Arabidopsis thaliana: one gene and its partners. The protein of the gene in region 1 interacts with the protein of each later gene in a pairwise test. Each region holds a gene or a part of one and is shown on either strand. Other genes may lie near its edges.

The links.
Region 2: the proteins of NF-YA8 (region 1) and NF-YC1 interact in a two-hybrid assay, tested with the Arabidopsis thaliana proteins (2 studies listed by BioGRID).
Region 3: the proteins of NF-YA8 (region 1) and NF-YC9 interact in binary tests that used the Arabidopsis thaliana proteins (3 or more experiments, as listed by UniProt).

Annotation. Positions count from the first base shown.
Region 1 is NC_003070.9:6,049,424-6,054,876, forward strand, and holds NF-YA8 (nuclear factor Y, subunit A8), read right to left. Parts: upstream 3,206-5,453; 5' UTR 2,981-3,205; exon of another isoform or gene 2,630-2,980; 5' UTR 2,562-2,629; coding exon 2,279-2,561; intron 2,129-2,278; coding exon 2,028-2,128; intron 1,947-2,027; coding exon 1,872-1,946; intron 1,665-1,871; coding exon 1,509-1,664; intron 1,430-1,508; coding exon 1,058-1,429; 3' UTR 741-1,057; downstream 1-740. Other genes in the region: AT1G17600 (Disease resistance protein (TIR-NBS-LRR class) family), read right to left, coding at 3,603-3,791, 3,866-4,957, 5,082-5,384. UniProt on the Arabidopsis thaliana protein: Stimulates the transcription of various genes by recognizing and binding to a CCAAT motif in promoters.
Region 2 is NC_003074.8:18,007,759-18,012,516, forward strand, and holds NF-YC1 (nuclear factor Y, subunit C1), read right to left. Parts: upstream 2,261-4,758; 5' UTR 2,181-2,260; coding exon 1,480-2,180; intron 1,139-1,479; coding exon 1,135-1,138; 3' UTR 835-1,134; downstream 1-834. Other genes in the region: XTH11 (xyloglucan endotransglucosylase/hydrolase 11), read left to right, coding at 1-148, 232-583; AT3G48600 (SWIB complex BAF60b domain-containing protein), read right to left, coding at 2,410-2,547, 2,929-3,258, 3,387-3,605; NPC6 (non-specific phospholipase C6), read right to left, coding at 3,895-4,364. UniProt on the Arabidopsis thaliana protein: Stimulates the transcription of various genes by recognizing and binding to a CCAAT motif in promoters.
Region 3 is NC_003070.9:2,880,230-2,885,176, reverse strand, and holds NF-YC9 (nuclear factor Y, subunit C9), read right to left. Parts: upstream 2,687-4,947; 5' UTR 2,491-2,686; exon of another isoform or gene 2,037-2,490; 5' UTR 2,034-2,036; coding exon 1,338-2,033; 3' UTR 1,329-1,337; exon of another isoform or gene 1,147-1,328; 3' UTR 835-1,146; downstream 1-834. Other genes in the region: AMI1 (amidase 1), read right to left, coding at 1-27, 119-243, 376-528, 610-722; CAX11 (cation exchanger 11), read right to left, coding at 3,300-4,064, 4,604-4,947. UniProt on the Arabidopsis thaliana protein: Stimulates the transcription of various genes by recognizing and binding to a CCAAT motif in promoters. Interacts with REF6 to directly regulate SOC1 transcription in response to flowering signals from photoperiod and gibberellic acid pathways.

The DNA.
Region 1 (5,453 bases):
AGTGGCTTTCTGGTACTGTTCTACTATTAATAGGGGTATATTGGGTAGGAAAAAATATATATATGTGAACTAAATATTTGTTGTGTCCATGCGTTGATAGGCCATTTGCTTAATGAATTTTACTTTGTTTATCATTTTTCAAATTATTAGTTTTTTTTTTTGTCACTATTGTTCTTTATTGACTGATCCAAACAAGTTTACAAGGCCAAAGTTGAAGCCCAAAATTGAAGCCCAAAGTATTACATCAAGGAAAAGATCAAAAGAAGGATAACTCTTGCGTTAGTTAATGTGTCAACAACATCGACACGTGGTGAAAACGTGTTGCAAAAGAAACATTGCAATTTCCCGTCATCCTTTACAGTCTAGTCTTTAGTTATGTTTGTATGTTTTTGGAAACATATCTGTGTTAAGAGATATTCCCTTTGTGTATAAATACACTGCTAGTGATTGTAACTCGGGGGTACTCAGACAGAAAAGCGTTTAGGGAACATTTGTTCAAGGTGTTACTGCCGCCATTGCTGGTAGTGTCTCCGCTTTGATTACAGTGACATAATTAAAGACTAGACTGCAGGTTCTAAATGTGGAAGATAGTAATAGTAGTAGTAGTAACGATAGGAACTGCAGTCTGACTATCTACAGACGGTTAGAAACTTGGTCGGGGAAGGTGGTTGGACGGCTTGTTACAGAGGATTGGGACCAAGCTGCGCTTCTAGTCAATGTGTTCTATGACTATGATATATGATATAAACAACACCGGAATGGAGTGTATGAATCTGGTTTAGCTTTACTAACTATGAATAAGCAAAGAGCAGAGACTTATCGGTTATCAGATTTACATTTACATTCATCACTCCAATCCAATCACTGACTTAACACACGATGATCCATGGTACAAACGACAGACGAAAAGTAAAGAGTTGAAGCTTGAAGGTTTTTGGTCATTCAAATGATATCTGGACAAAGCGTGTGAAATAAGAACTAGCTAATAAGCGAAGTAGCAGCCAAGGATGACTTCCCTTTTTTTGTAGGAACGTACACATTACCAGATTCCACCGGCTCAGATATGGACAGAGAAATGGTGTGTGTTCCTACCTCCATGCATGTCATTTGATTGACCATGAACATACATTGTTGGGTTTGTCTGAGATGGGCAATCTGATATCAGAAATTCAGAGTGTCCAAAGAGATTAACGCTGTCAGAAGCAGATGTGATGTCAGAGCGAGAAGTGGTTGAACAATCACAGTCATTGCTGTTCTGCAACTGATAAAGCACAAATCTTGACATGTTTCCCGTTGCGTGTTGCTGTTGGATTGGCATGTCTTGTTTTGGATCTGTAGATTCTTGAAGCTTTTTGGTGTTTAGGAATCTTCCACCAGATCCTCTAGGTCGTTTAAGAGCGTGAACATGTCGAGATTCATGAAGATACGGCTGTATGATATTTGATAATGAGTTATGTTTAGTCATTAAACCAAAGTAAGATACCGAAACGCTGACCAAAATACTATACCTTACGGGCTTTGATTAGTTTGTTTTGCGCCTCTAGCTTAGCACGCTGTTGCCTCCTCCTCATAATTGCATGGAATTGCTTTGCATTGACAAAGACAGGCTCATTCTCTATGAGATCGAATGGTAGCGGAACTCGAGTCATTTGGGGATTCCATATCTGCAGAAAGTTTTTAAGCAAACTGAAATCTCAAATGGAGAAATAAATTGCAAGACTAATTCACCATTTAAGGATGGCATTTCTTTCTATAGCTGTATATGTAACTACTTCAGAGCATAATGTTACATAACAAGTCCACCTTAAGTAAAAATGAGGTTTAGCATAAATATTCTCCTCACCATATGTAATCAAGGAGGATATACTTACTGTTGCCTGTGGTAGGTAAGCCGCAGGCATTAAACCACCAAAATGTGGATCGGCATAGTGAAATGAGAAGTTAGCCTGAAACCAGAGTATAACACAAGATGTCAGTAAACAATCACAAGTACTGCTTATCGTCACTCGTAGTAGATATACGGGTACCTTGGAAGGAGAAGAGTGAATATCAGCGATTCCTGCCGTGGAGGAGCCTGATTTAATTGCAAATCGCTTCCTTTGAGTTTCTTCAAATCCTTTACAAACATCTGAAAGAAAGAGAGCGAAAGATAACATTTTCAGGACAAAGGGATGGATTCTTTCGTAAATGGGACCAAAGATCAAGCTAAAACACCATGCGTCTTCAACATAATAGATCATAGTGAGTTGTCTAGAACCCAAAGTTGTTTAAAACGGACCTGAATGTGCTAAAAATGAGATTTGTCTTGAGGGGTTATCATCTCCACTACTTGTAACATCGTTAGAAGATTGAGCAGAGGACAGAGTTGAAGATGAATCCTGGTCCTGGAAACTGATATTCTTTGTGTTTATAAGACGTTCTGGTCTTGCATCTACCACCTTCAAACTCAGTGATTCAGTCACACCATTGGATTTGGTTGGAAGTCCCCATGAGATGGAAGTACTAAGGTATGGTGGAGTTGAATGTGCCACAGAGCTAGTAAATGAAACTTTCTTATCCATGTGACTCAGAGGCAACAATTAGCTCTCTCTCTCTCTGCTTCAACAGAGAAGATTGATGATACATGTGTCTGTCAAAGAAGCTCCAAATTCAGAACATCTTTATAAATGATAAAACTTTCAAAAGATATTTATTCCTGGAAACAGCAAAACCTTTGACGATGTAGTAGACAAAGAAGGGGATAATCCAAAAAGGGAAAAAAACCCAGAAACAGAGCAACATTCAGAACTATTTCGGGCAAACTATTAGAAGAGCGCGGCAGAAAAAAAAGTAAAGTTCCGACCAACTAAAATCAGCACCATTACTTTCGTCCTAAAAGGCGTTGACTTGGGAAGAAATTTCCAGAAGATTTCCGAATCAGCACATCACTCTAAAAAAAAGCGAAGAAATGACGGATTCAAAGAGAAGGAGATAGAGAGACCTTACGGATTCAAGGAAGAGATGAAGAACAGGAACTCAAGGGATGCCTATCAAAACAAAGTAAATCTCTTTTCTCTTTTGCTTATTCTCTCAGATAGATACTCAACAGTGTGTATGTGTGTGTGTGTATTCTTTTGATGCTTCATTTCCGTCACTCACAATTTTCTCTCTTATAAAGTCATTACCTTTCCAACAAAATCACCAGCTCCATTATTAGCAGTACCGCCACCTTCATTAGTATTTTTAATGCTTAATTAATATATTAGTTTTCTAATCTTATTGACTTATTATTTTGTTCACTTAACAAAGTAAACACTTATCTAGTTATCTGCCTATCCACTTTACAAAGTAAAACTATCGTCAAAAGCCTAATCTAGTGAGCAACTATATGGCAGCTGAAGCATCTAAAGCAAAGCTAATCTGCCTACTCTTTGTGTTTATGGACAAAATCTTGAAGCGTTCTTTGGATATAGTGGAACTCAGTTCCAAAATGCGAGTGGAAAAGAGAGAGAGAAGCAGAAGCAAGGGAGACTTGAAATGTAGTAAGTTTGTTACTACCTGGTAAATTACAGAAGAAAGCACACAGTTTAAGTCTTGAGGAAGCTGTTGCTGAGTCTTGAGTTTCACTTGAAAACACGCAGGAGTAAAATCACAAGAGCAGCCACTAGCGTGATGCAGATAGGGATGCCTACATACATAACCGCATGTGTGATCTTGGGAAGGCGGATGGTTTGGCGATTTCTTGTGGCTTGAGTTTTCAGTACATAACTCGACATCTCAGTTTCTTGGAAGTAGTCATTTCGTGTATGTGCCTATAAAAGAAGGGAGATGATAAAGGGTAACTACATCAATCATAGTAGAGACGGATCAAGAGCCAAGTATTCACCTCCTTGTTTGGTATGTCCTCAAAATGTTCTGCAGAACCAGCTTCGAGAGAATCACAGCCGTGTGCATCGAGAAATTGGAGAGACAAGGGAAGTTTTTCCACCGATTTGAGTTTCTTGCAGTTATTGAGGCAAAGTGTTACCAATGAGGTAAGATCTCTGATGCTTGATGGCAATGTCTCAAAATCATGGTTGCTGAGATCTAAACATGTCAACTTGGTGAAATGACTAAGCTGATCTGACAATGATTCAACACTCTTGCAATTTTCAAGGCAAAGCTCAAGCAAACAGTATCTTCCCTCATCTTGACTTGTGTTAGATAGTTTCGCCAATGATCTAAGGTTCCTACAGTTGGTAAGTGTAAGTGTCTGCACCTGAGTTAGCTTTGGCAACTCCTGGAGCTTAAAGCAGTTTTGAAGCCAGAGAGTTTTTAACCGGGAAAGGCTACTCATAGCTTCTGGTAAGTTCTCAAAATCATTTCCGCTGAGGTCCAGCTTCTCTAGTAAATCCAGGTGACAAATCCCAGATGGGATTTTCCTGATGTTTAAGTTCACTAGTTTTAGCTCTTTCAGGTCGGGAAAATCTGGAAAGACGTCAAAGGAGAAAGATTCACCGTTTTCTTTGTGGCTGAACCTCATGATGCGGAGGGAATTGAATCTGTTGCACTCTGAGATGACCCAAGGTGCTTGTTGCAGACTCATCGCCGATATAATGGGTATCTGTTGCTCAGAATTAAAAGAGACGTATTCAGCATATCCTCTAAATTTTGAACGAAACTCAAAAGTAATGTCTCCCCCAATCGATATGTTTATAAGTGCATCCATTTTCACTTTTGCGTCTGGGAACTCCAATCCAATATGTTGCTGCCTTGTAGATTTTCGTAGAAAAAACCGCAGGGCACTTCTACGCCCTCCACGGTAGGATAGCTTAAGCTTCTTTAAGGTAGACCTTTTTCCAATACACTCTGGAATGCCCTCCAGTCTCGTGCATTGTTCCAGAAGCAATTCCTCAAGACTCGTGATACTTGAAAGATCTGGAAGTTGCTTGAGATGCTTAGATCCCGTCACATCTAGTCTCTTCAAACTCTTCAACATCTGAGCAAGATACAACAACACATGGAAATAGTTGGAATTATGTTTCTCGCAAGGATTCTCTGTTTTCACACCATTGCTCTATCAAAAACACAAACACAAGATGCAGAATCATAGAAAAGATTACCGGTGTTCCACTCCAGAGAGTTTCTAAATCACTGTGACGCAGATTGAGTTCAACAAGAAAACATGGATCAGAACCGGAAGGCAGGGCTCTCAATGGAAATGCATCCCAATGGAATAGCCGTAGGCTACGAGGCAGGAACGGTTGGTCTGGAATGAGTTGCAGATTCGACTCTCTGTAATCTACATGCTTGTAAACCTTGAGAAACTTGAGATTATGCATACGGCCAACAACACTGGCCTCCATGGATAACACACAGGTCATATCACACGTGTGTAGGCACATGCATTCAGTTTGTTCTCCTCCCTGATGATAAGAAGACAAAAGAAACACAAAGCCAGAAACTCGTCAGGTCAGGATGCATGAAAATTTAAA
Region 2 (4,758 bases), on another chromosome or scaffold:
TCTTGGGAAAGAATGGGCCACCGTATTTGCTGAATACGAATATGTATCTGTACGGTGAAGGAGGCAAAGATCAGAGGTTTCGTCTCTGGTTTGATCCAACAAAAGATTACCATTCCTACAGTTTTCTTTGGAACCCTAATCAACTTGTGTGAGTATCATATAACACTTTTTATCAGATCATCCATTGATTAACATCAGTAACAAAAAGAAAATGTATTTCCACATTTTCAGGTTTTATGTTGACGATACACCGATCAGGGTGTACAGCAAGAATCCAGATGTTTACTACCCATCGGTGCAGACAATGTTCCTAATGGGAAGTGTGCAAAACGGATCGATAATTGACCCGAAGCAGATGCCTTACATTGCTAAGTTCCAGGCATCAAAGATTGAAGGGTGTAAGACTGAGTTCATGGGAATAGATAAATGCACTGATCCTAAGTTCTGGTGGAATCGCAAACAGCTAAGCTCTAAAGAGAAGACACTGTACCTAAACGCAAGGAAGACGTACCTGGATTATGACTATTGTTCTGACAGACAGCGATATCCAAAGGTGCCTCAAGAATGTGGAAGTTACACTTAGAGAAAGATCAATACCTGTCACAGGGTTAAGCCTACAAAACAATTATCTTGAAAAAATAACTTATGTTACTGTAAGATGCTTTATGATAAGCCTTTTCTATCAAATAACAACATTATTGTCATCAATGCTAGATACATTACTATGTCACGAGTTCATATACAGATACCTATTTACACAGAACCAAGTTGGTTCAGATCGGGTTTGCTTGAGGTTTACAAGCACTGAAACCTCTGAAAAGAACCTTACAGGTTACAAGACTGCATTTTCTCAGACATCAAGATAAGTCAAATATGAGAAAAAATCGGAAAGAAGCATACAATAGAAACTGCACATTAGATTATATATAGTTAGGCTAAGTCGCAGCAATGATGGTTTTGCTACAATAACATATACGTTAACAGAGAGAAACAAGAGTTTTTTTTACTCTTCTTTAACGAAGCCTTTTCATTGAATTTAGGCATAATCTATCAAACACATCCAAAATTCAAGGCGAGGTCGACTAATATCTGCTATCTTCAAGCAGGTCAAGCATCATCTGGAATACTCTGAGCTTAACTGCAAAAATGATACCAAAACATTGAAAGGTAAGTTTAAGGAGCCATAGTTCATTGATTCATTCAGATTCAGCAGAAGAGCAAGAGAATCTAGTTGTTTGATATAGCAATGTTTGCAAATTGCGATATGAAAACAATTTTCAAATCTTGATGATTACAGGATTAGAGATTGTTTATCATTCCAAATCCTAAAACCTTAATAAACAGAGAAATCTTGGACTAACATGATTATATCCCAAACAAACCAGACTTAGAGATTGTTTATCATTCCATCTCCTAAAACCCTAGACGATCATGTAATCAATCAATGTATATCACATTGCACAGAAAATGAAACTTTACCCTTGGCCGTCGAGATTCCCTTGACCGGAACTTCCACCACTACCATAAGAGACATCATCTCCCGTCCCCGTCGAAGTCTGCCAAACACTCTGCCACGCCTGAGACGGAGGCTGGACATAAACACCATTCGGATCCATAGCTGGTCTCCCAATCATCATCCCTCCAGGACCAGCTGGTTGTCCCATCGGCGGATAATAGTAAGGCACGCCGCTCGCGGTAGGAGCCACCACCATTCCACCACCGAGGACTGCGGCTTCGTCCTTAATCTCATCTCTAGGAACAATATCAACAAGGAAATCGAAGATATCAGTCCTAGTAATCGCAGCAGCGATATCGTTTTTCTGAAGCGTACGACGTTTATTCTCCTCAGCGTGAAGCCAAGATCTGATCGTGAGCTCGAGAATGAAAAGCTCACAAGCTTTCGCGAAGAGAATCGGTGCTTCTGCGGAGATCATACGAACATCTTCATCGGCTTTCATGATCTTTTTTATCCTAGCTAGTGGAAGCTGATGGTTTTTGAAATCGTTAACTTGTTCGATCTCTTGGCGTTGGTAGGTCCAGAATAGTTGGAGCTGTTGTTGTTGTTGTTGGAGAAGGTGGTGGTAAGAAGCTCCTCCTCCTGCGGCGGAGATGGTGGTTCCAGGTGGTGGAGGAGGGATTCCGGCGGCGGAGGGAGGTGGTTGCTGGTTGTTGGTATCCATTGGTCGGTTTTGGATTTTGATTTTTGGATCAAAAAGGTCGTGACAAGTTTTTGCCAAAGGGATTGGGGTACAAGTGGATAAGGTGGACAGCGATGTAGCTGATGATTTTCTCTCTTTTTTTTCTATTTCCTAAATTAATTTTTTTCTATTTTCTATTTCAAGTTAAATTTTGTTTTTTTTTTACACGTACCAAAGTTCATATGCATCCGAAATGAACCAAAAGAAAACATCAAGAGTGAAGAGAGCTGTCAGGAAAATGTTGCATCAAGAGTGAAGAGAGCTCTTTATTTCCGACTTTGTCTTTGCCATCGAGTATCGTCTTCAAGGTATCATCGCATCGTATCCGCCATTTACTACACTTCGTAATCTACAAATGAAACAAGTGAGCTCTAAACAAATCATAATCTCTAAACATGAAAATGCAATCTATGACCACCAAACAGAGAAGCAAGCACAAGGTCCAAAGCCACCTAAAGACACTCTATATTCGTAACTGGTGAATTCTTCATCTGACAGTGTATGAATTGACAAGCTAAGTTTTCAAAATATGCAATCAGAAAAGACCATTTCCACAAACAAAACCAAAACATTCAAGTGAGTAAACAACATTTTCAGCGTAGATGTCAATTACTCCAATAATGACCAACACAAGAATCAAATCACTACCATTCTCCAGTCTCTAGAGACTCCAATCCCTAAATGCATAAACATGTAAAGAGGAGATCATAAGGAAAGTAAAAAAGCTAACCCAAGGAAACTCGAGCAGAGTAACACCCTCATCTACGAGCTTGTGATCAAAGGCATAATCTAGCAATTTTCTCAAGGCGGCGTCAAAAGAGATTTCGCTTTGGCCGACGAATCTAGCCAGCGGCTCTGAGACTTTCACAATATCATTGAACCCCCATTTTTCTATAGTACCTCCACCGGTAGCCTTCACCTTCGCCGACATAGTTCTAACGTTAGGAAAATGTCGCAACAAAAGCTCCGTCATCTCTCTGACTCCGACGACTTTGTCTTGGCCATCGAAAATCGTCTTCAAGTTATCATCGCACAGTATCTCCTCTATATTCTCCGGATTCTACAAATCAAAGACCTATAAATCAGATACATTGCTCCAACAGAAAGAATCAGATCAAAAGACCTAGAAATCACCAAAAAAAAAAGTAGAATGAAAGGAAACTGGAGAAGAGTTTCGAAATCCCTAACCCAAAGATTGTGATCATCGGTATACTGCTCCACTTTCTCCATGGCGGTGGAAAAAGAGACTTCGCTTTGGCCGACGAATCTAGCCAGCGACTCTGAGACTGGAAAAATCTTATGAATTCCTCCTCTTCTATCAACGCCGGCGCCGGTAGCCGTCGCATTAGTCACCGCCTTCGCCATCAGTGTCCTGCATCCTCCTAGAATCTTAGAAATTGGCGACATTGTTGTTTCTCCTTCACTCCACTGCCCCTAACAATAAACAATTGAAGAAAAGTCTCCAACTAAAGAAATTGATGCAACTCATTTTGGGCCTTGTTGAATATTTATATATGGGCCTAATTGGGCTTCAGTTATATTGGGAGTTTATGAAGATCTTTCGATTGCTCAACATATCACTAACATTAACAATGAATTTTGTCTATTTCTTTGTTCCTCAATTCTAGTTTCCATACATAAAATCACACATTTTCAGATCAAAACATAGGAAGACGAATGCAAACAAGATTTTTAATCAGTTGTGTGGCCGTGTAGTGAGCGAAGATCGCATATCGACAATAGCAGATTTATCGGCACCAAGCTTCATTGCCTCTTTACTAGCTCTAATGAACCGAGAAGTAGCTCCTTTGACATACTCATGAGCTTGTTTCACAGTCATCTTCTTTCCAATTTCTTCCGGGAAGCTACTGAGGAAGTGATCACCATTGAGAACCGCTGCAAGCTGAACCACTTCACCTTGAAACTCAGAAAGAGCAGCGTCTTCTTTAGGCTCAGTGGCTCTCATAGGTGCAACTTCAGGTAGAGTCATGGGACAATCGGTTCGAGGAGTGGTTAAGTGAGATACAACGTCTTCGAAAGTAGCAGCCCATGCATCTCTATGTGTTAAGAAATTGGAAGAGAGATTGAAGAGTTTCTTGATTGTCGCTGGTATTGATGAATGCTCGTACTCTGAGCTCTCTGTTGGTCCTTTTGCTTCACTTACGACTTCATTCAAAACATATAATAAAATAAGATGTTATTAAACTATATATAGTAAAAAAATATTAAAATCAAATGGGGTCAAAGGATGGTTGAAAAACATGAGTCACGCAACGACGCCGACAAATTATAATATACTCCATCTTTCAATGGCATAATCAATGGATTCAATTATTTTCTCCACCATTATTAATGAATACAATCTTATAGTTGTCAAATGCCATCCATGTGATTTGGTTTTTGCAGCCTTAAATTTTGTTAGCAAATGTCAAAAATCTGTCGGAAATAGTAGTAGAAAGTGGAAATACATGAAATACAAATGAATTTCTTTTTTTGGGTTAAAGAAATGAATAGTTTCAATATTAATAATTCATAAGTGAAAAAAATAGTACGTTAAATA
Region 3 (4,947 bases), 3.2 Mb from region 1:
CTCGTACACTCCCTCCGGTATCAGTTCCTGATTGATCAAAAACCAATTAGACAGGGAAGAAAAATACTTTATGATCAGTAGTATGGTTACAACTTTTGGCAATTTTTCTTCAGCTCACCAATAGAAAAATCCACAAGACGAGCAGCTACAGCTACGGCTGAGCCACTCGATGATCCCCCAGGCACTCTATCGAAAGCAATCGGGTTTCTCGGAGTCCCATAATGCGCATTTTCTCCGTTTATACTGCATATTAAGTAAGAACATGCTCAGAAAAAACGTAACAAACCTAGTCATATTTTAGTTCTAGCCTCTGTTATGACATATCCTGTTTCTTAAAACATGAACTCCTAAACCAGAAAAGATGTGAAATTGAACCTGTAAGCCATTTCATCCATAATGGTAATACCCAAAGCTGTGGCACCAGCTTCTAAGAGAGATGAAACTACTGGAGCTGTAGAAGTAGCTGCCGAGTGTGTCCTTAACCAATCCGGGTTACCAAAACCGGTAACGCGTCCTTCCACATCAAAACTGATCAAACCAAGCAATAAGCTCAAAAATTGATTGACAAGAAAGTATAGAAGAAACTCTGTAAGTAGTTGGATATCTTACATGTCTTTAATGGCGAAAGTAAGACCCTGTAGAGAAGGAGGCGACGAGGAAGTAGAAGTTGGAGAGATTGTAACTTTCTCAATGAAAGCTCCAAAATCATTATTGGTCGCCATTGATGCAGCTCCCTTTCTGAGAAGGTAGATGACGACCAAGTAACGCTTCTTGTAGATAAAAGCTATCACATTATTAACGCGGCTACAGTGGCCAAGTCATTTTCTATTTTGTCTTTTCCTTAATATTATTGTCCTTTTGTTTTAAATATCCAATGAGATACATTTTGTGGATAATAACTTAATATGTGTGATAAAGACACAGAAATTAACATTCAAATAAAAAAACTTTTGTCAAAAGCACACTTGTTTCTTACAGTTTATACATTCTTCTTTCTGGTTCATCCCTAAATTTCTCGTTTAGAAAAGGATCGATAGACATAAACACTTTAGATTCTTCTACAACACCCAATTTGACAATTCTGATATGTTCTTTTCATTTTCTTGTCTAAGGTCTCCCTCCTTTCACCTGGACGAGACTAGAACGCTGCAGGGAGAAAAGCGAATACACTATCACATTTTTACTTCAATAAGATAAGAATACCAAAACTGACATAGTACCAAACTGAGACGATACTGAAATAAGTTATACAAAGGTTACCATTATTCGAAAACAGAAACAAAACCCCAAGACTACAAGGTAGGCCTAAAAGAAGCTGGAAGACTCACAGTTTCTTGCTAATTTTCCTGGTCAGGTTGGTCAGGTGCCTGTTGTTGCCACATTGGTTGACCCATATAAGGATTAGGTGGATACGCACCACCGGGATTACCCATAACCATTCCCGGATTTCCTATTGGAGCAGTTCCTGCAGGCAAGTATCCATACGGGTAACCAGCAGCAGCAGCTTCCGGGACAGTGCCCCTCGGAATACTTCCCAAGACTTCATCTCGGAGATCCTCCCGGGGAACAATATCCACAAGGAAATCAAAAATATCGGTTCTAGTCACAGCAGCAGCAATATCGTTCTTCTGCAACGTCCGCCTCTTATTCTCCTCAGTGTGGTTCCACGACCTGAGTGTCAGCTCCAGGATGAACATCTCACAGGCCCTTGCAAACACGACAGGCGCCTCAGCCGAGATCATACGGACATCTTCATCCGCTTTCATGATTTTCTTGATTCTCGCAAGGGGAAGGCTGTGGTTCTTGAAATCGGTAGTCTTCTCAATCTCTTTGAATTGGTTCTCCCAAAATGCTTGAAGCTGCTGTGCCAGCTGTTGCTGCTGCTGCTGCTGATGGATCTGGTGGAACGCCAGCTGGCCTGGTTGTGCCGCACCTCCTGCTACAGTAGCAGCAGTGGTGCTCATCGGGTTGGTTTGGTATGGGTTTGTGCCATAGTTCATAGCTCCAGACTGTCCATGGTCTTGTTGATCCATTCACTACCAGAATAAAAAAACAGAACTTTGGGATTCATTCTAAGCTCTTAAGAAACATCTGACCAGAATTTTAAAGAAATGTGAAGGAGATAAGGTTGCTAACAAACAATTTACATAAATAAGAATCTGCTGAATTTACTTTATATATGGTCTAATCTGTAATTCTAGATTAACCTTGAAGATCTAAACAGCAATAAGTATGAAAATTGAGCTTCGAATTAAAAGACAATACATCAACCTACTTATTCCAACCCATAAATTTGATAAGGAAAACAGGAAAATATCGAAAGGGATTGCCTTTAATTTCCTTCAAAATAGACAGAACAAAGAATCTGCTAACACAGAACAACTAGAATTGTTCCTACAACACCAAGCATATTATTTTATCATGTGAATTCCACAATATATAAGTAAGAACAAGTCAAATTGAAAAAAAGAATCTGCAAACGAGAGTGACCTGTGGAAAGGAGAATCTGAAGGGGAAGAGACTGGTTGATCCTCTTGGTGGGTAGAGAGAGTTTTAAGATCTGGTTTTTTTGTGTTAATTTGTTGTGATTTTATTAGGGTTTTGCTGCTTTACCCTTTTTTCGACTTTAACAATGAGGAGGAATTTAGAAAGACAAGGGGAAGTAAGTGGAAAGAGCTTTAAAAGCTGGGTGTCGTGTCAACCATTGGGCTTATGTCAAGATTCTTCTGCTCTTGTCAGATCATGATTTGTTTTATCTCTTACATTAATTAATTCATTTTTATTATCTTCTTAGGATTTAATTGGCAACCTTTAATTATCTTCTTTGGAGGTTCAAATTTCACAAGTAGTTTTGTTGTATCACAACATATTTGGCATTCACAGAGAATCAAATCACATAAAAAAGAACCAGAATCAACATTTTGTTCTGCTCTAATACACATTCTAGGATCAATGAAGTATTTCTCATTAATATCAAAAGAATACAAATGTGTGGTTTATACATATATAACAGACCCAAAAAAACAAGACCAGTACAATCAATGGAAAAGTAAACCAGATGGGGGAGTCAAAATCTTCTCCCAAAGCACATATATTTTACCATCACCTATCTACCAAACTTTACTAATCTGGCTCGGACGATCACAAGAACTTTTTGTGGGATTCGAAGATTACTGGTCTGGCGGTGGCCATCAGCTGAGCTCAAAATTTTGGCAATTCCCTTCTAGACAACAAAAATTCCTAAACAATGAACCCTGGTTGACCCTAGATTATTCAATGTGCAGACTTCACGCATATGATCAGGTTGAAACGCTGGCGATGATCAAACTAACAAATGTGAAAGCAACATACAGTCCAACAAGACAGATCCCCCAGAATCTCGGAACTCGGAATCTAGACCAGGTTATTACCAACAGAGATCCCATTAGACTAAGCAACAAGAAGACGAAAGCTATCACAATACCTACATGGAATCCAAGTTTGTAAGCGTCTGGATATACATTAGCTGTTTGCATCACCAAGGCCGATCCAAGTCCAACAAGCATGTTAAACATTGGACCTGCAAAACAACCGGCCATAGCCATTGCTGGTCTACCTGCCTTTGCAACTGCCACGTCAGCAACTAGGTCACCAACCGAGTTTCCCCAAGCAAGAACGGTTAGGCCAAGGAGCGCCGGAGGCAGTTTAAGGAGGGTTCCAAGCGCAGCCAAGCAGTTAAGGAGCTCACCAGCAATTGTTGATATCCAGAAAACACTCATTATGAAAGCTACAACAATGACCGGCAGTTGCTCGGTTTTTGGTGGTTGTTTTTCTACTGTGAAGTGGAGGAACGCTAGGGAAGACGTCATGAAGAGGACAACAAGCCAAAGCGGGAGATGGGTGTTTGGAAAGAGGAATGAAATTGGGTGGTTTAGTTGTACAAAAGAGTTGCAAGTGTATAAAAGGGCAAAAGGGCAGAAAACAATGTTGGCAGAGCGATAAAACCTAGACCATTCCGAAGGAGAAGGTTTTGGGATGGTAAGGTTCAAAAGAACTGATACAGGAGTTTCCCACATCCTCGAGATCTGCAATCACAGCAGCAAAAGCAGAATCAGACAACCTTCACTAAACTTATTTCAAACTTAAATGCAGTCTAACAGAAAAAATATAGTAACCTGGATAAGATCCAAACAGGTAAACTCCTTTAGAGTCGAATTCACCAAAGGAATACATATCATAGAGAGACTTGATTAACGAGTCTTGACCAGTTCCCAATCCTAAACCCTACGAAATTCTCTCAAACTCATTTTGCCCAACTTCTTTCTAACATGTTAGCTCTCTAGCTAACCGATCTAACGATTGCTCCTGAGCTGTCAACACAGCTACAATCCAGTTGAAAACGCCTAAGCAAGTGAAAATGCTCATTCACTAGACTAACACAGAGACTTATCATAACCTTAGAGTACACTAAGAAGAAAACAGGAAGCAAATTAAAACCTTTAAACGCATAATCTAAACTAAACAATATCGGAGTTCACAATTGGTAGCTGAATATGATACTACCATAAAATTCCAGCATTATGATCGATAAACAAAGCTCAAAGATGAGTGAAGAAGAATTTACCGTTCCATAAAGCCGAAAAATTCCTGAAAATTGATGTTCTTTCTCTGCTTTATAACTCCCAAGAGAACCTGCGGCAATCTCACAATCCTGAAGTCTCAACAAATCCTTCTCTTCCTCACTGATACTTTTCCCTTTCTCAACATTGGTACCAAAATCCATCCAGAAGACGAAACCAACGAAGAATATATAAAACCCAACGAACCCTATAGCTTGCCACACAAATATCTCACCACTCAAGTACACATAGAACAAGAACAAAGCAGCAATCAAATAAAAAAGCACATCTCTGACAAATGACGCAGCATCCACCGGAAACGGCGCTGCATAGATCGCAACGAACCCAA